Linked DNA regions of Drosophila melanogaster. The protein of the gene in region 2 interacts with the protein of the main gene of each other region in a pairwise test. Each region holds a gene or a part of one and is shown on either strand. Other genes may lie near its edges. The genes, in order: SkpB and CG8272.

Region 1 (14,457 bases), 3.3 Mb from region 2:
CCGTATCTGTGTCTGTGCCTGTGTATCTGTATCTTTGTGTGCGTGTGGGCCAAGAACACAACGTTGACAATGGCAAGTCGCTAGCAAAGGAGCGGAATGTGGCTTCCGTTTGTGCGGAAGTCGTCGCCAGCTTCTTGCGTTCGGTCATCCTGCGCCCACTCGTTGAACCTCCTTGGTTGCGGAACCTAAAAATCACGGAAGCGGGCGGAGGGCAGAAATTATGGCGGCATTTGCCACAAATCGTGCGTGTAAAGTGATGTCATGGCCCGGCGTCGAAAGTCCAAGTGCATGCGTCAGCATTTGCGTATGATGCAATAGTTGTTGTTTGATGCCCCAAAAACAGATGCACAGCCACCTGACCAGACAAACCAACTGGCGATTATGACGATGCCTGGACAGTCCTCATATATCTGACAGTCCTCGAAACAATTTTTTCCAGCCCCCGTTAATATTGCCATTTTTTCCGCATAAAGCATCAAAAGATGGGCTAAAATGGCACGGGAAAGGCGGCAGATGCAGACAGTCAGCAGGAGGAGAAAGTGGAAAGTGGAGAGGAGAAAGAAGAAAGTAGAAAGTAAGGGAAAGCAACAGTCGCCGCCTTCGTTTACTGTTCTCATTGCAATAAAGTTGAGCACTTTGTGCCTTCTTGTCATGAATATTTGAACAACGCAAAACGGTGGGGCTTTCCAACCACCCAACAACCCCGCCCAACTCCTGGCAATTTTATTATTATTTTTTTTTTGTATTTTTGTCAACAACCTGTGTTGGTCCTGTTTCTGTTTTTGTTTTTGTTTTTACTGCTTGTTGTTTATGCGACTCCCTTGGCTATTTATAATTTAGCAGAGAAGAGCATTTTTGGTAATTAATTTTGTCAAGTAAATATTTCCAAGCGCCAAGCGTCACATTCAAATGTCTCGCTTTCAAGGCCAGCTCAGTGTGCTCATAGAAAAAATCGGATTCATTTTGTTTTTGGAAATATTGACACGTTTTGAAAAAGCACCACATGTGTGGTGCCCGTAAAATAGGATAAATACTTAGTACATTACTGATGCAATTCTTCCAAAAGCGGCAGAGGGCGAATCTTCTCGACATGGCACATCCACCCCCGCAGTATTTTATATAAGTACATATCAGACATATTGAGTTTTCCATTAGCATGAAAAGCTTTCTGGAAAACAAGGAAAACACGTGGGTACCTCTTCGATTTCTCAATTCTTGCCATTCACCTTTGCATACCCTATGCGCGTTTGAATCTCTCCTTTTTTTAGCGTATACGCAATATTATGTTAGGCAAAAATAAAAGGCGACCTACGACGACGACGTTTCATCATCTTTGCCTTAAAGGCACACAAGTATTTATATGTGTTTTTACAAATAAATATTCGCATTCGCAGTGGCATTCTGTTTATTGAACCAAATAAAAAGGTTGACAAGTCGGGCGGCGACAATGAAGGCACAACAAAGGCGGTCGGTCCCACATGGCGTATGAAATGCTCGGGCAAACTCAATTAGCAAGTGCCAAAGTGCCAGTGCTAAACTTTTTCCCCTTGATCCCGAATAAATGAAAGTTGTCAAAGTTATTCCATGGCCGGACCTCGCATTAATTTGATATACACAAAAACGGAGTTTTCGACCGGCTTGATGTGTGAATAACCTGGACACTATCAACCTGCTAGAAGTTTTTCTTTTTTGTGCCCCAAAATAAGATTTTTAAAGCAAACTGCTGCTGCGCTACACATAACCATTTCCTTGGCGATTTAATGGAGGCATCAGCGTTACCATTTTGAACGTCATCGCGGTATATAGCCCAACCCAAGCCAAACCCAAACCCAACCCATCTTATCTCATCCCATTTAATTTTATCTCGTCTTGTCAGCGAAGCGTACAGCATGCAGCCCACTTTTCGTCTGCTTTCCACTAATTAAATCCGCTTTCACTGCGGCCATGGCTGCTTCTACGCGAATGTGAATTTTTACGCTCACTTTTATGCGGCCGCATGGCATAGCAAAATATAGCATACTTCTCAGCGCTGGCGCCATAAATCAACGCTGGTAAATCAAAGCGCAAAACCAAACTGACATGCATTACGTATTTATATCTGGGCGAGAGCGGGCTAAAAGGCGGCGTGTCAAGGGCCATGCAGTATGCAAAACATTTAGATATTTATATGAGCATATATATGAGCATATGCTCACCATATGCATATATATATACGTACATAGGTCCCAGTAAGTGTTTGCTGGATGTCCTTTGGGTGCTCTTGGTCCTGGCTTTGTTGCCCCCCTTTTTTTATGGCTTTCCAGATGCGAGTTGAACGAAGGCGACGGCTTTAAAATGCAATAAATGGTGAAATGTTGAAATGCTAAAATACTGAAATTGGCGGAAGATATACTATGTAGGTAGATTTTCCGATAAATGCTCGGCACAGAGATGGTACCGCCGCGGTCAATGGGTTAAGTGCTCCAGACACGCGGTTAACCACACCAACCAGATACATACATATGTGCTGAACCCAACCGAACTGAGCTGAACTTTGGATCATCATGCACAGCAGCGCTTTTACGCTCACCTTTTCTAAGCTATTCCGCATCGCCACCCGCTGATGCACATCGTCAAATTTTAACGAGCATGTTGTACGTGACCTCCGCACCTCCCTCCCCAGCTCCCAACTCCCTTGCTCCCCGGTGAGGTGACGTCATTGAGGATTCAAAGTCGCCGACCGGCAAATGTCATATCAATAGATGTGGTCTGGGGTCTTTAGCCCGCCCACTCCAACCTTTGAAGCACGCGAACGCCATTTGGAGGCACATGGATTACTCCGATCGGGTCGTGACCCCTTAATACATCTGCCCATAACTCGAAGCCCTAAAGCGATGTTGAGGACAAAAATATATATTCTTTGTAATAAATACGTTATTATAGAAAATGCTTCTTCTAAGAAAACCAATCCCAGCTAAAGCACAAAAGTATTTTTCAAGATACAAGATTTTAAATTTAGTTTTCAAAAACTTTGTATACTTGGAATAATCGTTCCAAAAAACTACTACGGTTTCAAATGCATCCTTTTGACGTTTCTTTAGTTTCAAACTAAACAGTTAAGCGGATGTCCAAGGGATCTCCGACTTTCACATCGCAATAAGCAACATAAACGATATTTGCGTACGCTTTTTTTTTTTTTGCTGGGGGAACTGCGATTGCTTTGTGCTTCTTCTTTGGCTTTATGCGAGAAAACGAGTGTCGACGACATCGTTTGTCGGGCAAATTGAAATTTTATTATAGTCAGCTTATGTGTGCCGTACAATAAATTCTCATTTTGTATAACCAAACAACAACGGGCCCAACAACATCAAGATTAAGTTGGAGAAAGCCAGGTGGGGGCAAGTCAGGTGCGTCAGATGGGCAGGTGCGTCAGGTGAGCTGGTGGCTTGATTGAATTGACACGACGGAGTGGAGGCCACATGGCATCCCTCACTTGGAGCCGAAGCTGAAGGAAACTACTCCACTGCCGATTCACCTTTGATATTTCAATATTTCAGGCGGGGAAAAAAAGTGGCAGCTTAAAATTGAATGAAAATACTGAAAATATTAAAATGTGAAAAAAAAAATGTGAAATAAGGAAAAAAGGAAAGTGTAAAAATAATATACATAAATGATTCCCGTTGACTGCGCAATTTCATTTATTTGTGAGTAATTTCATTCAGCCCATAATTTCATAACGCGCTGACATTTAAGCGCGGATAAAGGCCTTTTTGGATCTCTGGTCAAATGATTCGGGTGGATCCATTAAGCATACACAAAGGCGCGTCGGAGCCCAAAAGGATACACTCGTATCCTTTGGGCCAGTGGCTCTTTTGTTTGTTCTTGGGCTTCTTGTTATTTTCCTATGCCCGCCAGCCTTCCTTTATTTCTTAGCCCATTTTTCCCCGCAGTCTGCCAGGCGAAAACTTTGCTTTGGCCCTCGAATATTTTCGAGTGGCTCCTTACGGCCACTTCCTGTGGGAGAACCCTTGCCACCTGTTGCTTCCCGCCACCTCAAGTTGAAGCTCTACGCCCGGGACGCAAAGCAATTTTGTGCGCGTTTTTTTCGGCGTGCTCATTAATTAAAAACAAGTTGACTATGTCAAATGACTTTGCCCTCGGCGAGCAACAGACTCGTATACTCGGATACTCAGATACTTGGATACTCTCGCCACTCGAGAGTCTTCCGTCGCGAAAAGGTCAGCTCTGAGTTGCTAAAGATGTGGCTGCCGGATCCGATGCACTTTACAGGTGACACGTGTCGCTCGCCCAGGTGAAGTGGGCCAAAATGGGTAGCAAAGTGCAAGAGCACTGCTGGAAGAGATGGGAGACCAATCTAATGGAAAAACAGCGAAAGGTGTCAACGGAATATAGTGTTCCCGATGAAAATGGCAATGGTGAAGCTGGCATATGTACACACACACACTCTTGTGTGTGGATTGTCTGCACGCCACAGATTAAATCTGTTCGGGAACTCCGTGTGCTTTGAAGTGCTTTAAATATTAAATATTAAGGGATTTCTAGGAATTTGTCAAGCTGCCGAGCGAGGAAAATCCAGAGCGGGCCAAAATGATGTGGAAACGAAAGCGGGCGTTCGTTCATGGGTGGAATAGCAAATGAAAGGAACCGGAAACGCTCAGCCAGAAGTCGAACGAGCAACAGGAAGTGCCGGCGAAACAAACAAGCAAACAAACAAACAGACAGACAGACAGACAAAGAGGCAAAGAGGCAAACACACGTGGACAACAGAAGACAACACTTTTATGAAGCCAGCAACAAAAGCCAGAAATAATAACAAGCTGGCTCTAGCAGATTGTGGCCATCCCTTCCCGTCACAGTCGGAATGAAATATTTTGTATTTCATGCACACTATTCTACACTTTGTCGTCCACAGAAACAAGGCGTGACACAGTTGTTGCACTTACAACACCCTCGGACACACAGAATCAGACCAACTGGCTTGGGCCAGCAAACGGAGATGGCCACTTGGATGCTCTACAGATGGTGGTTATCACTGTTTCCAAAATGGCACAAAAATTTACAGTTCTTTCCAAACAAAGAAACTATAAATGAAGTTCTTCTTAAGACGTGCGATTTTAAGCAAAGCCAATTGGCCCAGTCTGCTTTTCAACACATTTTTAAAAGATCTTAAGCTTGCGCACAGTGTGTAAGCTTCTTGATCTTTCCAAAATTCAAGATCAAAACAAACGGTTTATCTTGCATACTTTACTACAGGGTGACCTCTATCATCCAGTGCTGTTAATTAACTTATTAGCTGTCTTTTCAACTTGGAACTGTGCAACCCAATGAATTATATAGTGCGTTGGCATCACTGTCACCACATGGTCACATGGTCGTGGGGTCGTGCCTTATTTATAGCCCTAGAGCCCGTCCTCCTGGGCTTTGTGTCAAAGTCAGGCTGTCAGTTGCATCAAGTCGAGTTCAGTTCCCTGAAGTTTCGTTTCTAGTCCAGAGTGCAGTTGCAGCCCAGTTGGACATCTGTTTGCACTTTCCGCCTACGTCCTTTGTCCAGTGTCCACTTTTTCATATAGTTTGCGGCGGAAAAGCTGCGTGGCAAAGAGCATGGCTAATAACAGGTTGACAGAAAGAATAGGGAAACTGAATTTTTGGTAAAATCGCTATGATCTAAAGCATTTTAGGTCTAGCTGCTCTCATGGTTTCACACCCACTGTCTGTAAGTAATAAGTACAAATATACATAAAAGACCCTACTTTGCGCCATTTATTCACATTTGTAAGCTGGGTGGGCGACTTGACTGCTATTTAATTTTAATTTTGCCGGCGAATAGTAGACGCAGTACGTTGAACCGAATGAGCTCTAAGAAAAATAAAATTGCTCGTTCGCCTGTCGTGATTGTATTCTTTTTCATTTTTGAAGCATCAGTTTCAGGTATCGTTTTGCACGGCAGCCATTCCCTGGGGAATCCCTGGGATTTAACAAATTTTCAGCCAGTTCAATGCACAGCGTTGAAGTTTAAAGGTCGCCATTACAATTATGGCCAGGTTAGCTTTAAGACACTGTAGTTTGAAAAAAAAAATGGGTTTGGCCACTTTGATAACTCGAGAATGGAACCATCAGTGCGGCATAGCAGTTTGTCTTAGTACTCCAATTTAAATGCACGTTATCCAGAGAACAAACCACAATTTGAAAAAACACCTATACTTCATACATTATTGTTTAAGCTGTATTTTATTAGTGACATTAATTGCAATAATTAGCTGTGCGGTTGCTAATGCTGCTAATTTAAAAACTTTTCATAAATTTAATCAAACGCTCTTGGTTCTGGTTGTGATAAGTGAAACAGCATTTATTGATAAAGTGCGGTTTATTTTAGAACTTATTTAAAAATTGAAAGGTACAAGCTATTTTTAGAATATTTTGGACTTCCTGCCGATGCCAAGCATTAAACACTTATAGGTTGTAAACAAAAAGTTTTGCATATTTAATAAAACCAATTATGTATTTTTTATGTTTTCGTAGCTATAATTAATTTTTTTGTGATGTACTACACAATCGCCGAACATTAAAAACCGTAGACTATCACATACCTCTTACTTATAAAGGCTTTAGACTTCATCTTTGTCGCGGACCTGTTTGGGGCTATCGACAGTTAGTCAAGACCCAATTTAGAGCCGCTAGAAGTTAGAGATATTTGAGTCAGGACTTTACTCCGTTTCGATTTACTCCGTTTTAATCTCAATCTTAATCTCAACTCTCTAGGATCTATTGTTTCTGAGATCCCGACATTTATACGGACGGACAGACAGGCGTACTCGGCTATTGATCCTGATCAAGAATATATATACTTTTTATGGTCGGAAACGCTTCCTTCTGCCTGATACATAATTTTCAACGAATCTAGTATACCTTTTACTCTACGAGTAACGTTTATAAAAATTCTATCCATTTCTCATACCTCGATGTTTTGAAAAAATGCAGTGCTGCCACTACGATCGAAATGCGGTCACACTAGACAGCTGATTTTTTCCAACTGGAAGATTTGCTTTGCACACTGGACAAAGGAAATGTCCCATTTGTCGGCTTATCCAGCATATACGTCAGTCTAAACATGGAGAAAAGCTGCAGTATTGGCAACGGACGGGAGCAATACGGCTGGGGACATGGCGAACAATGCGGCACGCAGTTCCTTGAATGTGTCTACAGGAACGCGTCCATGTACTCTGTTCTGGGCGATCTGATCACATACGTGGTGTTCCTGGGGGCTACGTGCTACGCAATACTTTTCGGCTTCCGACTGTTGCTGTCCTGCGTGCGAATCGTCCTCAAAGTGGTTATCGCCCTCTTCGTCATCCGATTGCTGCTAGCTTTGGGCTCCGTCGACATCACATCTGTTAGCTATTCCGGGTGAAGTGACCAATCTGGCGAATGCCATCGGGACCACGGCCTTTAAACTACATTAACTAAATCAAATATAAATTCCAAATTGAAGAACACTGTAAATTACATTAAACGGTTTGTCATTAATTCCTTTGTTAAAGAGCACTTGCCAACATTAAAGCATAATATTTTATTTAATTAACCCAACAGAACAATTGCTGACTCTTAACATGATCAGCTAACTATCTCAATTGAAATGTTGATTAAACAAAAAATTTAAGCTTTAATTTCGTCATGGTAAGTTGATGGTATTCATTTATCCTCACACCACTCGTTCTCCTTGCGCACCTGTTCCTCCTCCTGTGGCAGAAAGTCATTCTGGATGGCGAAGGTGTCGCGAATAGCCTGCGGCGACTTGCCCTTGATCATATTGGCCACCGTCTTGCAGGTGACGTCGAGCAGACCCTGGATATTCAGGTAGTTTGCCGCGAGGATCAGTTCGAACAGCGTGCCCTGGTCGACTTTGAGAAAGTCAGCGTCCCAGGATGAGATGTCATCAGTGCGCTTCTCCTTGTTCTCAACCTCTTCGGTAACCACAGGATCGTCCTTGTGATAGGTGGCCCAGTGGAGCACTTTCTTCAGGATCAGCGAGTTGACATTCGGCAACGGCAGCACACTGTTGTCGCTCTCATCGCCCAAATCCTCTATTGCAATGCGAATCGTTTCCGAGCACTTGGCGATCTCCTGATCCGTGTCAAAGATCTCCTTGTCCGCAGACTCCAGCCGAATGATGGGCATCTCTGCGTAAAAATTTTTATTTTTGCTTATATCTATATTTTCAATTTTATTCGTACACACCTCCTGCTGATTTGGATCCCAAGATTTGATACGAAATCGGTTTGATTTATTTGCAGACGCAGCCAAACAAAATTTTTAGACACAACACGATGTCACTTAGCTGTGGCCTACTGGCTAAAAATAATATTCCCTTGCCTTCAACTTGAACCGGACTGGTGCGGCGGCCGCCTGAGAACAGAGCGTTTGTTAAATAAAGAACTTGGCTGCCAATAATTCCCCGGATTCTTAGAAAACTAGAACGTCGTACGATTTGAAGAGGAAATTTGTTAGTGAAACGGCCGCCAGTGTGCACATACTCGGAATGGCTTTAAAAGATGGCGCCTATTACAGTTAATGGTGTGGAGACACTGTGACAGCTAGCGGTAAACAAAAGCTCAGTTATATTTTTTTATAATGTATATATATATATTTTTTTTAAACATATATATTTTGGCACAATTCAAGCGTGCTGGGCGTTGTATTATTTAAACAGAAACCTACAAAATTCTGCCTTTATAGTTAGTTTTTATCCTGTTTTTATTTAATGAATTTCAAATTTCAAATATTTTTGTAAACAATTTTAAGCTAGGCCAAGGGTTTGTGTCGCGGCTAGTGCAAGCAGTCAACTTGCGGCATTTTTTAGTACATTTCCCTCTGTGCTGGGTTATATATTCGCAGGCTATACTCCACACTGCTTCCAGCGGAATCGTCAAAAAAATAACATTAAAATCGCCGTGTGCATAATTAGAATATTTCCGAATAGTAATCGCCCGTGAAATCGCTAATTAGCGGTCAGCACTTGCGCCAGTTAAAGAAATCGCGGCACCGGCAGTGGGCCAAAAGAACATTTTTTCCGGCTGAAAAAAACAGGCGGCGGCGTCGACACGCGGACCGAACCAAAGGATCCGAAGCCATCCGATCAGATCTAATCCGATCCGGAGAAAATTCCAGGACACTAAGGACTTCCGAAACTACCCCGCACAAGAGATGGACGTGTACGACGTGAGCGATGATCTGATAAAGAAGCTGCAGGACTGGAAACTAATCGGCATCATATCCGGCAAGTTCAACGAGCTGAAGGAGAACCATCGCAAGGTTGACTTCGTGATGCGCGCTCTTATTGACTTCAAGTACATTGAAAAGATATTCCTGAATGTAACGCTTCGAGAGGACAAGTGCAACAAGCGGAGCGTGGAGTTCCGTATGCTGGGCAACGAGCAGTTTTCGCTCAAGAACAGGAATTACTTCCAGGTAATCATTGCCCCCTCAATCGGCAAACTTAAGCTAATCCCTGCGACTCGTTTCAGGCTCTAGAGCTGTACAACAAAAGCATCTGTTATGCCGAACCGAATTCGGAGCACCTGTCCATCGGCTATGCTAATCGGTCGGCGGTACTATTCGAGTGGAAGCGCTATCGGCAATGCCTGGACAATATCAAGCTGGCAAGGCAGGCCAACTATCCGGCGAGACTGAGCCACAAACTAGACAAGCGAGAAAGGGACTGCCAACAGCTACTCGATCAGCAACCGCCGGATGTGGTGCCCTATGAGTTCAAGCTCAGTTTCGAACCGCATGCCCAGGTGCCCTTCATCGCCGACTGTTTGGAGTTGCGCGAAACCGCCGCCGAGGGTCGCTTTGTGGTGACCAATCGGGATTTGGCCGTTGGGGATCTTGTGTCCGTGGAGGAGCCCTTCTGCTCCACACTGCTGACGCCGATGCGATACATTCGGTGTGCCACCTGCAAGCGGGAGAACTATCTGACCCTCATACCCTGCGACAGCTGCTGTTCCACGATGTTCTGCTCCGAGGAGTGCAAGTCGATTGCCATGCAAACCTATCACCGCTACGAGTGCCCCATCATTGACTTTCTGAACCGCATGTTCAACAAGATCCACTGTATCGCACTGCGCACCACACTGGTCGCGCTGAATATCTTTCCCAGCATCGAGGAGCTAATTGACTTCTGTGAGCAGGAGCAGAACCAGGACAAGTGCGCCTTTGACCTCAACTACAACGAGCTGACGCCGGAGGAGCACTACCGGGCCATCCATGGACTGGTGACAAACCAGCACCTGCGCTCCGTCTCCGATCTCTTCCAGCGCTCCGTGGTCTGTGCTGTGCTCAAGCACTTCATAATCGAATACACACCCGTCAAGGAATATTTGGGCGGCGAAGAAGGCGTGAACTTCTTCACGGACCTCCTGTTCCGACATCTGCAGACATCTCCCTCGAATATGCACGGCATCGACCTGGTCGAGCAGGTTAACGAGACCAAGGACGACCAGACGCACTCGTCTGGGGCGTACGCCTTCCTCTCGCTCATAAATCACTCTTGTGCGCCGAATACTGTAAGGATATACGAGGGCACCAAGGCGTACATGTTCGTCCTGCGGCCTATTAAGGCGGGAAATGTGCTCTACGACAATTACGGGTAAGTAGTAACCAAAGCATTCTGACCACACCACTTTAGTTCAAGCTAATAGGGGTCCAAGTCACTGCAGCTCTCTTCAAATACTAAAACTAATAGATATCCAACTTTTTAGTGCTCACTTCGCCATCTGCAGCAAGGAGCAGCGTTTGAAAAGGCTGTCCCTGCAGTACCGCTTCGACTGCAAATGCGAGGGCTGCGAGCTGAACTATCCTATGTTCGGAATGATGCCGCACAAGGCGACGGTGCCATCGGTTACCGATGACACGGAATTGGCACTGAGCTCCTACAACTATGATTTCGCGGTGAGCAACTATCGAAAGTACTGCGACTTCCTCACGCAATACGGTGACGACTATCCGTGCGAGCAGATTAGCTCCGCGGAGGAGTGCCTAAAGATGGCCCTGCATATCATGGCGGACGCAGTGCCGCTCAAGGCGAAGATGTAATCGGATCCTGCCGCTGAACCAACCCACACAACCAACACGGACGAACTTTTCCTTTGCTAACTTTAACTGGAGACAGCGTATTACAAGCGAGACACAAATCAAGGAGAGTAATTGATTATACATACATGTTGTTGCCATAAGTCTGTAGCGCAGGCAGCAGCGCGATGGGGAGGGAGCATGCCCTTAACTTTTATATTTGTAATTGTACATTTTCGACCTTTGATTATGTTTTACCCCGCACCAAGCCCGCACACCACACCCACACAACGCCCAGCACACCCACACAACGCCCAGCACACCCACACAACGCCCAGCACACCCACCACACATTTCACAACAATTCGAAAGTTCAAAATTCTAAAGTTTATTTATTTTTTGATCACAACAATGTCTTCGATGAAAACAAACAAACAAAGGATTATTATGCAACCTACGTCGTTTTTATAATTATTTTACAAAAACCAACTGAAGCAGAAATAAAATATTTTCAAAACGAAGTGACTTTGGCCTCAAGGCATTTTGCTGTACAGGTCCAGCAGGTTCTGGTTCAGCAAGGATCCTCCCCGGGACATGGACGTCGCCACCTTTTCCGAGGACGATGCCGATGTCGTGGGCTGCAGCTGTACAAACTCGCAGCCAGAGGAGCTGGCCGCTGTGTCATTGAAAAGCACATTGCCGAAGGCCTGCTCGAACTGCTGCTGGAACTGGCGGGCGTTGATGGGCTGCAGATCCTCACTTTGCGCCGGATTTATGTTCAGCTGAGCGGCCAGCTGATCCATGCTGTTGGGCTCCCGTTGTTGGCGCTCCCGCTGGTCGGCACTCTTCGCATAGATATTATCGCCGGCTGACTCAACGTATTCCGCGTAGTAATCTTGATCCACGTCCCTGATGAAACTACCGTCCATGGCCTGAAAGCCCATGCGAATCAAAAGCGATATCTTTGTGTTAAAGCACTGCAGCCAGGCCCGATTCGTCTGGTAGATGGACAGCTGCGCATCCTCACCGCTGGCATTCCAAAAGTCCAGCAGCGTGTTTTTCGTGAAGTCAATCAGCATATGCCGTTTGGCATCCGGATACAACCTGTTGATCGCCTCCAAGTGCCGAAATGTAATCTCCAGCAGATGGTGCTGATGGCGGGAAACGAAAAGCTGCCACTTGTAGACCATAGTCATCAGATTCCACAGCTTGGACATCGACTGCTCGTCGAGTCGCATCAAGGAGCAGGTGGCAATGTCGTTCAGCATAAACTTGCAATGCTCGGCGGTCAAAAGCTGCGCACTATTGTGTTTCGATCCGTTTAGGAGCGAGTCTATAAACTTTGGTTCGAGCAGCACAGAAGTCACATCGTGGATAACTGGTGGAAGATATATATATAGTGTCTTTTAAATTTGAATTTGAATTTGAATTGAAGCATATAGCTATGCAGAAGACTCCAAGGCTCTAACTTTAACCTTTACCAAAGCTTGCAAGGACGACTCTAGCATCTCAAATGTAATATCCATGTTCAAATTTCTTGGCGGGATTTCTTACCCTGGACCGATTTGTCCTGAGCAATCTGCTGCGCCTTCAGCCGCTGATCGATCACGTAGAGCATCTCGCAACCGAGATTGACCAGGATGAAGACATTGGCCCGGGGATTCTACAGCTGGCGTGGACTAAAGTTGGCCATCGTTTGACGGGCTACTCGATGGCACGGGCGGCGATTGCGAACTAAACTGGAAAACCGATGACTTCGTCGAGCACGCAAGGCTCGGAACCCAAAACCGTTATTGGATTTTCGGTTTCCGTGCGGACTGCCGGCCCCCATTTACACGGAAAACAAATACGTAATCGTTTCGTATAACATCGGTTATAAAAAGCTAAAGATCCAAACTTGATTGTTCGGTATAATCAGAAAACATTCTTCAATATGTTTTCTTACTTAATTTTTTGAATAACCAATAAGAAAACGAATGTATATGTGTATATTTTGTAGGCTAAAAGGGTTTTGGTCTCATTAACTCATCATAAATATACAATATAAGTTGACCTTTACCATATATCCACTGGGCGTTTTTTCCAGTGTCCTTTCGCATTTGATGGCTTTATGAGAGCCTCGGCAACGTCTTTCAGTGCAAACAATAACGAAAGTCTGTCCGTGGCGACAGGACAGGCCGTGTATAATTATGGCAGCCATGGTGGGAAGGACGAACCTCCACCAGCGCCGGGCAATAAATTTTATTGATTTGTAAATTTCCATTTCAAGCGCAGGGCAATGGTAATTAGCCTGGAAATTATGGCAGCAGGTTAAAAAGTTAAAGCGCTTACCCTATTATACATATGTGTATGTCCATCACAACAGGATGGAAAGCTCCCACGACCAGTAGACCAGCAGACCTGTCTGCTAATTCGTTGGTCGGGCGGAGTGGTTGGTGGTTGGTGAGGTCTACCACCAAGTTCCAGTCCAAATGGGAGGCAAGCACCTGCAGCGAAGGTCGTCCGGAAAGGATGCCGGAAATTGCGTGATTCCCCTACCACAAAAGCTACACTGGTTTGAATTTACTACCTAGCATTTGAAAAAAAGATCGCCAATTCAAATAGCAAGATATTTACATATATTGCTTAAATTGAGTTGCCGCATTTAATTTGAAGATTTCAATGCATCAATTTTCAAAACAGGAACTATCGAAAATATCGAATTGGATTCGTATTCTAGAAAGGCTTTAAAACCATTTGAAAATAGTTATGGTTAGGTATTTATGATATGATAGTTCCTACAGAAAAAAGGACAAATGAATTCGTTACACAAAAATGACCGCCCCTTTTTTTGAAAACAGCACCTATCGATATACAGATAACAAAGTTCTGGGTAGTTTTCCAAGTGCAGTGACAGTAAGATTTTCGTCACGGATTCCAGTGGTCACTCTAACGATACGGGCAATGTTTTCGCACAAGTTTATTTGCGGGTCCTTGACCAAAATGACTGAAACCGGCATTACATTCGATCCGCCGGTGTACGAGCAGCGATATTGCGCCACAATCCAAATTCTGGAGGACGCCCGCTGGAAGGATCAGATTAAGAAGGTCGTGGAGTTCGGTTGTGCCGAGATGCGCTTCTTCCAGCTAATGCGTCGCATTGAGACCATAGAACATATTGGACTGGTAAGAGCTTGACTTCGACTGGTAATGAAACAGGCACAAGTTGATTGTTAAGGAAATACATTTCTAGTTTATTTATTTCCGCTGCTGTTTATACACGCATATCCTAGCTTAGATTTGTATTGTTTTTATGAAATAACCATTATCTAGTTATATTAAATACTTTTTGAGGAGAGTATGTACCTGGCTGCATGAAATGTGGGTGAAACGAGTCGTACATGTGGTCTA
Region 2 (16,169 bases):
TGGAGAAGCAGAAGCTGCTCTTCCATCAGGCACGTCTCTCCAATCGTGGCGTTGCCGAAATGGTGCTGTTGCACATTTCCGCCTCCAAAGGTATACCTTCGGAGATGGTAATGACGACACTCAATCTCGGCATCGCCATTTTGCGCGGCGGCAACATCGACATCCAAATGGGCATGCTGAACCACTTGAAGGAAAAGAAGGACGTTGGCTTCTTTACCTCCATCGCCGGACTGATGAACTCCTGCAGTGTACTGGACCTGGACGCCTTTGAGCGAAACACCAAAGCAGAGGGTAAGTCCATCCGCCCCGTGATCCCACGCACCCACCTCCTCCAGCTTTGATTTGCCGTGCCCGTCATCTTTGGTTCGAATACTTCTAAGTTCGATTACTCTATTGATTTGTGTCTACTTCCTTCCAACTGATTTCCCAACCACCCAACACCACCATGCCTCGCATGCCATTACCACCAACCAACCACCAACCACCAACCCACCAATCCCGTGTACGTGATTCCCGCTATCGTTGTACCAATCCACCCAAATTTGTCACACGAACAAAGAGTATATTCCGAGTGCGGGTGCAGGTCTTGGTGTAGGTTCCGAAGGCGCCGCGGGCGAGAAGAACATGCACGACGCGGAGTTCACCTGTGCGCTGTTCCGGTTCATCCAGCTGACCTGCGAGGGCCACAACTTGGGTGAGTTATAGAAGGAGAGAGTTGAGAACATGTGACCTCTGAGCCTATCCCTTACAGAATGGCAAAACTATTTGAGGACCCAGGCGGGTAACACCACCACCGTGAACGTGGTCATCTGTACTGTGGATTATTTGCTTCGTCTGCAAGAGTCCATCATGGACTTCTACTGGCACTACTCCAGCAAAGAGATCATCGATCCCGCTGGAAAGGCCAACTTCTTCAAGGCCATCGAAGTGGCTAGCCAAGTATTTAACACCCTCACTGAAGTCATCCAGGGTCCGTGTACCCTCAATCAGCAGGCCTTGGCACACTCGAGGTTGTGGGATGCAGTTGGTGGCTTCCTCTTCCTGTTTTCCCACATGCAGGACAAGCTGTCAAAGCACTCCAGCCAAGTTGATCTGCTCAAGGAACTGCTGAATCTGCAAAAGGACATGATCACCATGATGCTTTCCATGCTGGAAGGAAATGTTGTTAACGGTATGGGAACTGGCATATCAACATTGGATGACTAATGCAGATTAATATTCGAATATCCGAATTAACAGGCACTATTGGCAAGCAGATGGTGGACACGCTGGTGGAGTCTGCCAGCAATGTGGAGCTGATTCTTAAGTACTTCGACATGTTCCTGAAGCTCGCCGACCTTATCGAATCGCCCAGCTTCCACGAAGTGGACATGAAGAACGAGGGTTGGGTGACCCCCAAAGACTTTAGGGAAAAGATGGAGCAATCCAAGAACTACACACCGTAAGTGAAGATAAAGTATGGCCAATCACAGGGTATCACAGACTATAACGCTCCGTTTTACAGGGAAGAAATGGATTTCCTTTTGGCCTGCTGCGAGCGCAACCACGAGGGCAAGATCGATTACCGGGCCTTCGTGGAGCACTTCCACGAACCATCAAAGGAGATCGGTTTCAACCTGGCTGTGCTCCTGACCAACCTCAGCGAACACATGCCAAACGAACCGCGCCTGGCGCGCTTCCTGGAGACCGCCGGCTCGGTGCTCAACTACTTCGAGCCCTTCCTGGGCCGCATCGAGATTCTCGGCAGCTCCAAGCGCATCGAGCGCGTTTACTTTGAGATCAAGGACTCGAACATCGAACAGTGGGAGAAGCCCCAGATTCGCGAGTCCAAGCGTGCCTTCTTTTATTCCATCGTCACCGAAGGTGGCGACAAGGAGAAACTGGAGGCCTTTGTGAACTTCTGCGAGGACGCCATCTTTGAGATGACCCACGCCTCGGGACTTATGGCCACCGATGATGGCGGTGGCAATGTGAAGCGGGACACTGCCTATAGTTCCTATATGAGCGAGGAAGAGGAGGAGCGAGCCGCTCGTGATCCCATCCGCCGCACCATCACCGCCGTCAAAGAAGGACTCAAGTTCGGAGTGCACATGCTTAGTCCGGCGAACATCAAGCATCAGATCGGAGTGATGCAGACCAAATCCATACCAGAACTCATAGTCGGCTTTTTCAAGATCATCTTCTATATATTTTACTATACCGGATATGCACACTTCTGCGTGGTGCGTTACATATTCGGCATCCTACTGAACCTGATGCGAGGACCTGCTCCAGAGCAGGAGGAGGAACCGGTAGTGGAGGAGGAAACGTTTGGAAGAGCACTGCCACCGCTGCCGCTTGAAGAACCACCGGGCACGGTGCAAGCCTTTGGGCTGGACATCAACAAGGAGGAGAACGGCATGTACAAGGTGGTGGTGCACGAATCTCCAGCCAATTCCTCGATGGAGGAGGGCGGAGAATCCAGTCCCGAGGACGGAGCAGCTGCCAGCGGCGAATTGGTCGAAGGTGAACCACACCAGGAGCCCATTTCCATTGTGGATCTGCTGGGTGGAGAGGCTGCAAAGAAGGCGGCACAGGAGCGGCAGGAGGCGCAAAAGGCTCAGGAGGCCGCTATGGCCTCCATCGAGGCGGAAGCCAAGAAGTCGTCATCTGCGCCTCAGGAGACTCCAGCTGTTCACCAGATCGACTTTTCTCAGTACACCCATCGCGCCGTTAGCTTCCTCGCCAGAAACTTCTACAACCTCAAGTATGTGGCCTTGGTGCTGGCTTTCAGCATTAACTTCATGCTGCTCTTCTACAAAGTCACCTCGTTTACCGAAGAAGCAGACAGCTCTGCCGAAGAGGAGCTCATCCTGGGCTCCGGGTCGGGAGGAGGTGCGGACATCACGGGCTCTGGGTTTGGCGGATCAGGGGACGGAGGATCGGGCGATGGCGAAATGGAGGACGAGATACCGGAACTTGTGCACGTGGACGAAGACTTCTTCTACATGGAACACGTTCTCCGCATTGCGGCATGTCTGCACTCACTTGTCTCCCTGGCCATGTTGATTGCCTACTACCACCTCAAGGTTCCATTGGCCATCTTCAAGCGGGAAAAAGAGATTGCCCGCCGGCTGGAGTTCGAGGGATTGTTCATTGCAGAGCAGCCGGAGGATGACGACTTCAAGTCGCACTGGGACAAGCTGGTAATTTCGGCGAAAAGTTTCCCGGTGAACTACTGGGACAAGTTCGTGAAGAAGAAGGTGCGCCAAAAGTACAGCGAGACCTACGACTTTGATTCGATCTCTAATCTGCTGGGCATGGAGAAGAGCACGTTCGCGGCTCAGGAGAGCGAGGAAACGGGCATCTTCAAGTACATCATGAACATCGACTGGCGCTATCAGGTGTGGAAGGCTGGCGTCACCTTCACGGACAACGCCTTCCTCTACTCGCTGTGGTACTTCAGCTTCTCGGTGATGGGTAACTTCAACAACTTCTTCTTCGCCGCCCATCTGCTCGATGTGGCCGTGGGCTTCAAGACCCTGCGCACCATCCTGCAGTCTGTGACCCACAACGGCAAGCAACTGGTGCTCACCGTGATGCTGCTTACCATCATAGTGTACATCTACACTGTGATCGCGTTCAACTTCTTCAGGAAGTTCTACATCCAGGAGGAGGACGAGGAGGTGGACAAAAAGTGCCACGACATGTTGACCTGCTTCGTGTTCCATCTGTACAAGGGTGTGAGAGCGGGCGGTGGAATAGGCGACGAGATCGGGGATCCAGATGGAGACGACTACGAGGTCTACCGCATCATCTTCGATATCACGTTCTTCTTCTTCGTTATTATTATTCTGCTGGCCATTATCCAGGGTCTGATCATCGACGCCTTCGGCGAGCTGCGTGACCAACTGGAGTCGGTGAAGGACAACATGGAGTCCAACTGCTTCATCTGCGGGATGGGCAAGGACTTCTTCGACATAGTACCGCACGGCTTCGACACGCACGTCCAGAAGGAGCACAACTTAGCCAACTACATGTTCTTCCTGATGCATTTGATTAACAAGCCGGACACGGAGTATACCGGCCAGGAGACGTACGTGTGGAACATGTACCAGCAGCGCAGCTGGGACTTCTTCCCAGTGGGAGACTGCTTCCGCAAGCAATACGAGGATGAGCTTTCCGGCGGAGGCGGCGGCGGCTAAATGACTGCGGATTCGCCGCGTCTGATTTCTGGGCACAATCACACTGGCACTAGACGGTCCAAGGACTCTCGGGATCCAATTTTGTATCGGTAGTTTGACAACATCTGGAATTTTTACCTAGTCAACTTTAGCAATGTATTTTAAGCAATATCCTACACAATCGTTTTTATGTACGTAGAGGAGTACGACCTGTTTCCAAACTGAAATATTGATGACGATTCTAGCACGTATAACAACAAATGTTCTTAACTCATTTTGAAATAAATCTATTCATTTTGAACGAACCCCTTTGGTCTTCGATATTTTATTTATTCCCGTTTAGATCGTCAAGAAGAACAAATTTTGTTTTGGGTAAATATTTAATTACTTTCGAACATTAAGACTTGTCATCTCAAATATCAAGGCTGGTTAGTCGAATTATTTACAAGAATAGAGCAAAAGCTTGTAAATTTTCGGAATACCTTTCCATAATGTAAAAACAGTCATTTGATTAACATGTATTTAGTTTATACCTCGCATATTGTTCTTCAAATATAAATTTAACTAACTGTACGATTTACTAGACACTCATTAAGTTACTCAGTAATTATTTTAATTTTTGATCTTTATTTACAAATACATTAACCACTTAAGTCAGTTGAGTTCAGTTAACGATTTAATCGTATAAAGCTTATAAGAAGTGACAGTGACTTGTTGTAATTATAACCACAATGTGTTTTCAAAAACTTCATTTTTGGGTTTTTCTCCTAAACTGAATTAACAAATTTTCAACTATTTAATAACTACTAACGAATCAAATCAAGTTAAATACTCAACAATCAAACAAACAACTTTAATTTTGGCAACCGATCACATAATTTACAATCGTGTACACTTATCATACGATTCGTACCTTACAAAAAATCACAGTTGAATGCGGACAAACGTTACGTACGAAAATTTAATTGCATTACAATCGAGACTTGTAATTTTGCTAATCTAACGTGCGCGGTTAGTGTAAATTTAAGTGCACATATATGCAAATACATATATGTCTGCATATATATGTATATGTATGTATATTTGACTAAAGCTTTCACAACTATAGCCCAGCTGCTGGGGGCCGATAGATAAAAATAAATATATGTGGGGGGTTGTTCCGACGGCTGGGGCGATTGACTAGCGGAAGTTGTACAGCTGAAAGTAGTACAACATCAAGACAATGAAGATGGCGGCAAAGTATCAGTAATCGAGTCGCTTTTTCAGGCGGAAAAACTCGGCGTTGTCGATGCTCGTCAGATTGTCCATGTTCAGGTTGCGCAACGTCTTCACGCCGGATAGTCGCTCCTCCAAGTCTGTGTACATACTCCGACATCGATAGATTGACAGCGTTTGCAGGCAGCTGCAGTTGGTGATAATGGCGTCCAGCGTGTGCTCCGTCAGCTGGCTGCAACCGCTGATGTGCAGAGCCTTCAGGCGGGGCAACTTAGACGTTACCACCTGGATGGTCTTGTCCGTAATGTTGTAGCAGTCAGATAGGTCGAGCTCCTCAATCGATGGGCAACTGCTGGCCATCGCCTCCATGCCCAGCAGGGAAATCTGCTGGCAATTCGAGAGCATTAGCCGCCTCAGCTCGATGTGCTTCAGCCCATATTTCAGGGATACATCACTGATCTTATTGCAGCCACGCAAGTTTAGCGATCGCAATCCCCGCAACTGCTGAATGTTGTGACCCTCGAAATCATCCTCTCGTATCAGGTTCATTTCGTAGGCGGCCAGCATGGCTTGCTTTCGCCGGGCATCCCGAACAATCTCATCCTCGGCCTTGCTCCTGAGCGATATCTTAATGGACTGCAGGGAACCCGCCAGGCTGTCTCGTTCCGCCAGCGTGTTCGAGTACGGCGGGTAGAAGTTGTCCATCGACGACACCTGCGAACCCGACTGCTTACGACTCATTTCCAGCTTGGATATGTTTATACCTGTGAGGGCTGCATCGGTTAACTATATTTAAATAAAACCAAATTACAAGGCAGAACTTATATTTATCGCGACTTTCAGTCTTACCCCACTGCAGTGCTCTAAAGAGAGCTCGCGCAGCCATCGCAGCTGGCCGATGACCGACTGGATAGCCTCATCGGTGGCTCCATTGACGCAGTGATTCAAGTGCAGTGATCGCAGACATCGTAGGTTACTGGCAATTGCCTTGATGCATTCCTCGCAGATCTGAAGGTATGAAACGTTCAGCTCCTGTATTACCGGATTCTCCTCGCTAGCGATGCCTTCTATGATGCCGCTGCTTGTCAAGTTATCGCAGTTTGAGATGTCCAGACTTTTGAGACACTTTAGCTTGGCCAAGTGGATGGCACCAGCATTTGTAATGCTCAGGCAGCCGTTCACCTTCAAGTGCTCCAGCTGCGGATTAGTTTGTACCAAGGCGGCCAGATTTTCATCGTTAACACACATTGTGGCCGACAAATCGAGGGCACACAACTGGGGCTGTGTGGCTAGAAAGTTCAGGATTGTGGTGCAGTTAAGCTGTCTGCATCCGGCCAAATAGAGGCGCTGCAGTTGGAGATTGAGGTCGCAAAGGGCCAACAAAGCCTGGCCAATTAGGGTGTGGCTAAAGTTCAACACGCGCAACGTACGTCGCTGCAGGTTCAGAATGGTGAGGATGAACTTGAACGTGAGCACAGACTCGCTGGGCAAAACGTGATCCGAGGAGCTGGTGGCAGGGTAAAATCTGCGATGAATAGCATTGTGAAAGGCTATGTGACAGCCGGACATGTTAATCGCTTCCAGACTGGGCATGAACGATGTGAGACGCATAAGAATGGCATCCGTGAGGTATTGGTTCTCGCACAGCGTCAGCTCCTTGATGCCGGCCAGATTGCTTGCCAGGTCGTTTAGGTCAGGACAGGAGTTGTTGTAAGAGTCCAGGAAAGAGCCGGACATGAACAGCGGCAGACAGCGCTTCAGCGACAGCGAGTGGAGATGGGGCAGCACGCCCAGCATGCCGTAGAACTGTTTGTCATTCAAATCCACATTGTCCAGAGCCAGGGACTGAGCGGTCCTGCCCATGAAGCGCATCAATTCCTTTACTTGTCCCAGTGTCACGTCCTCGAACAGGAAGTGCTGGAAACGCCGCTCGCAGCGCATCAGATCCACTCCAGGACTCAATTGATCCGATAGCACCACCTTGGAGAAGCAGACTCGCGTGCGCTGGTTAAATTCCGCCTGATCCAGCGCCGCATGCCATCGCTGGCAGGTGGATCCTGCCGCTTGTAAGTCCGAGTAGCCGAGATAGCTGAAAATCTTCAAAACAATCTGGGGGCGGAACAGAAAAAAACAAAATCAGCTGACTGCCCTAACAGGTATATGAATATGCAGATATAGATACGCTCGAAATGATGGATTGGTCACGGGACCGCGGCAGTCCGTTCACATTATATGCTCACCTCCAGCGGCAGATCATCGTATCTATGCAACCCGTACTCTAAGCCAGACATTACTCTATTGTTTTCGGATGCAAAATATTAAGATTAGTACAACCAACTAGCAGCTCCCACCGCCCACTCGCTTCGCCCGCAAACTACACGAAAACTACAGTGTTGACTAACTTAGTACCTGTGCTAGGTACAGTAGGACCGTGCCTTTTTTCTATCCTCACTGGTCTATAAAATACCAGAAGAAAAGTGTACCTTCATTGATTTACCAATTGGAAGTCGATCATGGAATTATTTACCTATTGCTTATGAATGATTTTAAATGTATATCGTTTTTCCTAAAATCAAAATAGGTTTAAATTAGCACAAAAAGCTTTAATTTATTTTTATAAATGTTTGCATCTATGAATCCAGTTAACAAAGTACAATGTGCAAGTACAATTTATTTATATCGATGATATATTTTGCAATACTATTTACTCTTAGCTTATTAGCCGTTACAAGTAATAACTGTCTTTTTTAAATGACTTTTTAGATACCTCTGTTTATAAATACTCCAATGACAACTGCACTTTGGCATTTGTTTGGTAACCGCGCACGGTAACTTTTTTTATGACATCAGATCGAATTGATTGTTGTAAAAAAGGATTTTTGAAGGTTTATAATTATTTCGTTGCCAAAGGATTCCAAACACCGCCGTCGACGTGCCCACAATAATGGCCGATCCCAAGTTCCAGAACCTACCGGGAATAGTAAGTCGGAACTCCGCACCATGGCAGTGACGTTTAAGCTTTCGTTTTTGCCCATTTATACATATATGTACTTTATGTTTTTAGGCTTATGACCAGCCGGACGTGTACGAAACTCCAGATGACCCGGAGCTCGATACATCCGACTACTACGAAGAGGAGCCGGAGAACGAAGCCATCGAGCGACTGCACATCTCGCCGAGCGTCGCTCACAAGCGCTTCAGCGGAGCAACGGTCGAGGGGAGTGTGGACTTCACGGATCGCATTGGACGACGCATGTGCCGGGGTTACGATACGCGCGGCTCCAGCGACTACGAGCTGGTTGGCCAGGGCGAGAAGGAGACGCCGGTGCAGAAGTGCCAGCGCCTGCAGATCGAGATGAACGAGCTTCTGAACGAGGTGGCCGCCTTGCAGGTGGACCGCAAGGTAGCCGACGAGGAGAAGCAGTCGTACGATGCGGTGGCCACGGTTATCAGCACGGCCCGAAAGGTGCTGGAGTCGCTGAAGCTGGAGCAAGTGCTGGGCAAGGAGCAGACGCCTGGAAGTAAGCAGGTGAAAGCACTCATTAGCCAGGTGGAGGAGTTCAAGCAGTCCGGCGTTCTCACAGCCATACCCACGCCTGGCACCGATCTGGCGGCCACGGCCCGCGTAGCCAGTCTAGAGCAGCGAATCTCGCAGCTGGAGAAGGTGCTGGGCGCTCAGCCGGACAAGTTGAGCCGCCTTACCGCCGCCACCAACACCACCAATGTACTAGAGGCAGTGCGTCATCTAAGCACCAAGGCGGCCCTGATACAGCCTGATAAACTGGACACCATCGAGCAGCGCCTGACCTCGCTGGCCGGCAAGATGGATGCTATCGCCGAAAAGTCCAGCGGCAGTGCCCAGGACGCCAAACGAGATCAGAAGATTACGGAACTATACGACATCGCGAAGCGCACGGAGCCAGTGGTGGAAATACTGCCGCACGTCATCGAACGCATGCAAGCCCTCGAGGCCCTCCATAAATATGGTAAGCAATTCTATTTAGCATTTTAGCATTGTGCTTGTTTCTGTAACTAATCAACTTGCTCTGCAGCAAACAATTTCGCCAAGATCATCGCAGAGATTGAGCAGAAGCAGGGAACCATCACCACTAGCTTGGTGAACAACAAGGAGCTGCTGCATTCCGTACAGGAGACTTTCGCCCAGAATCTGGAGACTATCAACAGCAAGGTGGCCAAGGTGGAGCAGCGTGTGGCGGCCATATCGTCTGCCAAATGAGTGGATGCATACCATGCGTATTAAATAAACATAGCTTATATTTATGAAAGATACCTATAATAAAGAGATCTACATTCGAGTCCAGTTCCAGTCAAAAAATAAATGCAAAGTGATCTGGAATTTAAAATGAGTTCATAATAAATATTAATATTAAAAGTGCTGAAGCTAGTTTACGAATATAAAATGCGATGGAAAATAAATCTTTAAATAATTTCGACTATCATTTTTAATAATGTATACTGATAAAAACTATTTTTAAAATTGCACATTGAAACGGAATATTTAAATTGCATACCGTTAAACTCGCAGTATATTCTGGTCGCACGCATTTGGTATTTCAGTGCGTGCCCTGTGGTATATTACGTTGGCTCAGAGCACGGTCACACTGGCCGTTCCTACGGTTCTTAAAAATATTAACGATTCCAGTTAAATTCAAGATCAAAAAGTCTCGTTGCAGCGCAAGCGAGTACAAATTGCATTCACAATTGTGTGTAAGTTGCGCAATTAGCATAATTAAAGATACTTAAAGGCCGGCGGGCACTACTGGGCCACATCTGCAATGGGGAAGCCAATGGGAAAAGTGATGACGGGGCTTACTCCAATTGGACGTGACACAATTTCGTTCTGAACTTGTACCTCCCATAATATTTGTGTTTTTTCGCTTTATTTACACGAGCAGCACGAAGGGACATTGCAAGATGAAGATCAAGGAACTGCAAAAGACGGTGAACATCGCCTGGTCGCCGGCGCAGCAGCAGCAGATTCTCTTGGCCGCCGGCACCGCCGCCCAACAATTCGATTCCAATGCCAATTCCACTCTGGAGTTGTACTCACCGAACTTCAGCGATGCCACATACGATCTGGAGCTGAGGGCCAGCGTTTCCAGCCAGTACAAGTGAGTTATGGCTTTCAATTTGTGCATCAAGTCGTTCACATAACCGGCTTTTCCTCCCGCAGGTTCCAAAAACTCATCTGGTCCCCAGTGGGACCACACCCCAGTGGCCTGATTGTGGGCGGCTGCGAGGCGGGGCAGATCAACATATACTCAGCCGACAAGCTGCTTGCAGGCAAGGAGGAGCCGCTTCTGAAGCGCCAGGACAAGCACACAGGCGCCGTTAGCGGGTTGGACTTCAATCCCTTCCAGAACAACCTGCTGGCCTCATGCGCCTCCGAATCGGAAATCCTAATCTGGGACCTCAACAACCCGGAAACAAGCATGAGTCCCGGCACCAAGACACAACCACTGGAGGACGTAAAGAACGTAGCATGGAACAGGCAGGTGCAGCACATTCTAGCCTCCGTGTTCAGCACACGCTGCGTGATTTGGGATCTGCGTAAGAGTCAGCAGATCATCAAGCTCTCCGACTCGCAGTCGCGAGTGAGGTGGCACGCTATTGAGTGGCATCCGGAGGCGGCGACGCAGGTGTGGCTGGCTTCCGAGGACGACCAGGCGCCAGTGGTGCAGCTGTGGGATCTGCGATATGCCACGGCTCCAGCCAAAACATACCAGATTCATGAGCGCGGAGTGCTGGGAATGTCGTGGTGCCTGCAGGACAACGATCTAATGGTTTCGTGTGGCAAAGACAACCGCATCTATTGCTGGAACCCCAATACCAAGATTCCAGAGGGAGAAATCCTATCTGAGGTTGCCACCACTGCCTCGTGGTACTCCGATGTGCAGTTTTGCCCACGTAATCCAGCTCTGATAGCTAGCGCCAGCTTGGAGGGAGCAGTTTCCATTTACTCTCTACATGGAGGCACTCACCACCTTGTGCAAACCGCCAACAAGATTGCCGACTCGTTTCCGGGCATGGATCAGTTTGCCCAGGAGCCAATTCCGCAGCAGGCCACGCAAGTGGTTTACCATGACCTGGCGCACGCTCCCAAATGGATGAAGCGGCCCTGTGGCGTTGCCTTTGGAGTTAGTTAGCTGGCGTAAACAAGTTTATAAACCTATTTAAAAATCAATTTCTTCGTTTTTAGTTCGGTGGCAAGTTGGTCAGTTTCAATGGAACCTCGAAAACGGTCAAGGTCCAACAGCTAACCACCGAATCCGCCCTTGTGGACCGGGCTAATGCCCTGGAACGCTCTCTGGTCGATGCCAATTATTCGGATTACTGTCGGCAGCGAGCAGACGAGACACCGGATCAGCATGGCCGCTACATCTGGTACTTTATTAAGGCGAACTTCGAGCTTAATCCCAAGGAGGAAATGCTGAACCTTTTGGGTAGGATCTCTCTTTGCGTACGCGGCTACTTAAGCTAAGATTTTGTCTTACTTTTAAGGCTACAACAAAGACGACATCGATAGCAAGTTCAACAAGTTTATCAAGGAAACGGATGGCAACTCGCATTCGGATGTGGATACTCTGACGACCCGCATCTCGACACTGACCCATGTAAGTGCTCATTAGACATTGTCTTATCAGTCGAAAAAGAAAAACAAGCAGCATTGCGCACACTTTCGATCTTCCACGTATGCTCATCTTGCTCTGTATATTTCTATCCGATAACATAACTCATGCTATGCCATTGCCGTAGAGCGACTCTTCTGAGGTCGAGTGTGATCAGAGTACTAACTATAGCACCGATAATTCGGTAAGAGCTTACATGCCAGGCTCTTAATCGAGGCCAACAAACTCAAAGCAGCTTTTTCTGGGAACCATTTGAGGTGTATTCTTATACAAATGTTATTTCTTACCCAGCAGACGCAAGATAACAAGTTTGATGGCAATGCAATCGACTCACAAAATCACAACGACTTTGCCACTCCTCCGAGGCCGCAATTCAAGGTTCCCAGCGGAGACCGTAAGTAATACATGTTGTATAGTGCTCACTTAGTTTGGTAACTTTTTATCTAAACATTAATAACCTAAAAGCTTTTCTTTTGCGCAAAATAGTTCTAACTTTGCCAGCTAGTAAGCACTTGTTAAATGATCGGTTTTCTACACTTTACAGACTCGGATAGCCTGATTGCCGAGGCAATACTCACTGGCAATGTGGACGCTGCCGTGGAGCTCTGTCTGGAAGCACAGCGCATTCCTGAAGCCCTGATTATCGCCTCAACGGCTGGCATTGAGACTCTGAACCGCACGCAAACGCGCTACCTGCTGCAGCAGAAGAACGAGCTATCGCACGTTATCTCCGCTTTGGTATCGCGCGACTGGTTGGACTTCGTCAACAGATGCACTGTGGACTCGTGGAAGGAGGCCCTGGTGGCCGCGCTCAAGCACAGCGAGCGCAAGGTGGTGGACATCTGCGAGCGACTAGGCGATCGCCTCTTAAGTGAGTGCGCCTCAAGCGCCGAGTTTACGCGCAACGCCATGCTCTGCTACATTTGCGCCGGCAGCATCGACAAACTGGTCACCGCGTGGTACCAGTTAAAGCGGCTGGAGCAGCAGAACCCCGGCTACAAGCCCAACACCACAGAGCTGCAGGACTTGGCTGAGATGGTGATGCTGATGTGCAAGTCGTTGGAGCAGCAAGGCATATCCGTGGACTTGGCTGGTCGCTTTGCCGGCTTTCTGACTGAGTACGGCGGTCTTCTTGCGTCCCAGGGTGCTCTGACTGCAGCCCTGCAGTACATTACCACCTTGGGCGGAGGAGCTGCCGCCAGCGAAAGCGATGTTCTGCAGAGCCTACGAGACCGGATAAATAACGCTGTCAACCTGGACTACACCCAGCCACAGGCAGCAGTCGCTGCTGCGCCACACGGCTACCAACCGACTCGTGGTCGTGGATCGTTCTCGCAGCCACAGCCTTCGGCTCCCATGCCCTACGGCCAGCCGCCCAATCAGTATGCACAGCCCAGCTGGCCAGCGCAAGTGCCTCCACTACAAACAAGCTACCCAGGAGCCCAGCAGCCTCAGGCTCCGCCGCAGATATTCAATCCGCAGCCTGTGAAACCAGAGCCCCTGGCCCAACCACCGCGCCCACTCAGCAATGCCAGCTCTTCAGGTGGTCCGCCGCCAGCAGGCGGCGCATCATCCTCCGGCGGATCGGGTCTTTCTGGCCGCTCCAAATACGTTTTGGACCCATCTGTAGCAGCTCCAACCAGTTCCTACGGAATGCCATACAATCCAGTGCCGGCCCCCGTTCCATCAGCGGTTCCATTTGGCGGCGGAGGAGTGCCTGGGCCCGCACCCCAGCCAGCTAGCGTGCCAACGTACAACAGCAACGCGTTCAACACGAATCCTATTGCGGCTGCCCAACCTTACAACCCTTCGCCACTCATGCCAGCTCAGCAGAATCAGTTCGTGCCCGGTGTGAATCCCATCGAGACAATGCCACCGCCGGCTGTGCCACCAGTCATCCAGAATGTGCAACGCAATCCCACACCACCACCTGGCTGGAACGATCCTCCTGCACTGAAATCTTCGCGAGCGGTAAGTACTTGGTATACGAAATGTCATAGGCTTTATCCTAATTGTTTGCTTCTTTCTCTAACAGCCTAAGCCGAAGCCGGTGGTTGAGCCAAGTGCTGCTATCTTCCATCCCCTGTTCCCAGTCGACCCGAATCAGAACCAGAACGGTTATGTGGACCCCTCTCAATATCAGGTGGGATTTAAAAGCGGATTATTGGTCAGGAAGTAGATCAAAAATGTATTTATTTTCTCCAGCACGCAGCACCACTTGGAGGAGTGCCCAATACGTACTACAACCCGGCTGCCTTCAACAACAATCCCCAGCAGCAGCAGCAGCATCAGCAATCATATCTCCAGCCTCAGCAGCCAGCCCCTGGGATTCAGCAGCCAAACTGGCAGGGACAACAGCAAACCATTGGCTATACCGAGCAGCCAGCGCCCATCCAGCAACAGCGCCAACCGGCGCCGCCCAAGGAGAAGCCACCACTCCCCGAGGAGTACATCTACTTGCAGACTGTGCTGGAGGAGCTGAAGAACCGCTGCCTGGGCGCAACCAATGATCCGGTAAGTCTATTAATAAATGATCCATATAGACAAAAGGAATAACTTACTTTTGTTTATAAATTTTCTTACATTTTAAGCGCACAAAACGAAAGTTTGTCGATGTTGTCAAGAGGCTCGAAAATCTCTACGACTGCCTGAGAGATGGAAAGGTGAGAGCTGCTGCCTTAGATCGCGATTCAATTGCAATTCTCAAATGGCATTTACTTTAATTCCAGCTCACTCCCACCACGGTGCAATATCTGAATCAAATAGTTCAGTACATTCAAATATCCGACTATGCCAATGCTATGGAAATCCACACGCAAATCGCCTTCGGAACGGACTTTGCGCAGTGCGCGGGCTTTATGCAGGGACTGAAGGTCCTACTGCAATCCGCATCCGAGCTACAGTTGGTTCTGCGTTAGAGCCCCGTCGCCGGATCGCAGCCAAGTTCACTAAACGTATATTCTTATTGTGTCTTCAGATATCGATGTCAAACACAAAATGTTTTGTATACAAAGAGTGGTTCTCTACGTTAGTTTAGGCTGGGATCACCAGAAGATTGTCAACGTTATTCCGTGTATTGAAATATATTTCCACTTAAATCGCAAATAGACATATGCATAAATAACAAAACGAACATTGTACATGCTTTCACAACAGCTTCGGCTGGTTCCTGATATTCTCCAAGTCCAGTTGAATATGTGGCGAAGGGGCGGTCGCCGCCATGGGAGATTGTGGACACACCGGCTCCAGTTGCTCCTCGGGCAGCAGACGGTATTTTTTGAGATACTTGTACGAAGCATTGGATATGTCGTTTGGACTCTGCGCGTGGCCTATGTTGTCGATCGGACGCAGTGGCTCTGGATTAGGGGACTTCGGCGACGCCCCCAGGCGCATATCCTTCATCAACTCATCCACTGGCTGGCGCAAGTATTTCAGCGCCAGCTCGTTCATCACCATGCTCTTCTCGGTGTTGGGCTTGGCCAGTTGAGGGATCCGCTTCGCCTGAGGCGTATTGGCCCGGTAGCCCGTAGATTGGGCGATCGGCGGATGTGGTCGAGGAGACGGAAACTGAGGAATCACTCGTGCTTGTGGCGGCGGCAATGGTTCCTCCTCCTCTGCTATGTAATCCTGCATAATGGGAGACAAGCGTCTACCTGCTAGGAAGGATGTTTTATTGGATTCTTTTCATACAGATTCAACGTACGCACCTTGATTGGTGGTCAGAATATCGCACTGGGTGCCAGTGGTACTGCTGGCTTTTGAAATGGCTTCGGGTTTCGCTCGCTGCTGTTGCTCCAAAATCATCTCGCAGAGATTCCGAAGCTGTTGCTGCTCATGGCGCACGGACTCCACAAGGGATACCAGAGCCGCCAGATCACTCTTATTGGCCAAGTTGCTGACGTCGATGTCGGAATAGACAACCTGGGGCAGTGATTTTCGCGGAGGAGATGGGTTGAAGGGATCGGTCTGTGTGCCAGCACAGATGGTGAGGACATCTGCGTTGGAGGAGCTGGACAAGCGCCTAGATTGATATGCCTGTTGCTTGGGCTCGGCATTATAGCCACCAGCATTGCAGTTCATATGATTGGTAGTCTGCTGCGCATCGCTTGCATAGTTGCGATCCCGGGGCATTACTTGGTAT

What was found.
Region 1: the proteins of CG8272 (region 2) and SkpB interact in a two-hybrid assay, tested with the Drosophila melanogaster proteins (2 studies listed by BioGRID).

Annotation. Positions count from the first base shown.
Region 1 is NT_033778.4:12,131,750-12,146,206, forward strand, and holds SkpB (SKP1-related B), read right to left. Parts: upstream 8,481-14,457; 5' UTR 8,236-8,480; intron 8,178-8,235; 5' UTR 8,176-8,177; coding exon 7,690-8,175; 3' UTR 7,546-7,689; downstream 1-7,545. Other genes in the region: CG18343 (uncharacterized protein), read left to right, coding at 7,109-7,408; Smyd4-4 (SET and MYND domain containing, class 4, member 4), read left to right, coding at 9,202-9,465, 9,522-10,645, 10,758-11,091; Hen1 methyltransferase, read left to right, coding at 14,011-14,232.
Region 2 is NT_033778.4:8,883,632-8,899,800, forward strand, and holds CG8272 (uncharacterized protein), read right to left. Parts: upstream 7,771-16,169; 5' UTR 7,670-7,770; coding exon 7,619-7,669; intron 7,488-7,618; coding exon 6,228-7,487; intron 6,165-6,227; coding exon 5,406-6,164; coding exon of another isoform or gene 5,343-5,405; 3' UTR 4,773-5,342; downstream 1-4,772. Other genes in the region: RyR (ryanodine receptor), read left to right, coding at 1-291, 560-694, 752-1,171, 1,240-1,441, 1,505-4,184; DCTN2-p50 (dynactin 2, p50 subunit), read left to right, coding at 8,323-8,358, 8,443-9,364, 9,431-9,615; Sec31 (secretory 31), read left to right, coding at 10,314-10,510, 10,573-11,536, 11,599-11,842, 11,901-12,013, 12,156-12,212, 12,320-12,422, 12,573-13,999, 14,064-14,171 and 3 more; ana2 (anastral spindle 2), read right to left, coding at 15,176-15,684, 15,736-16,169.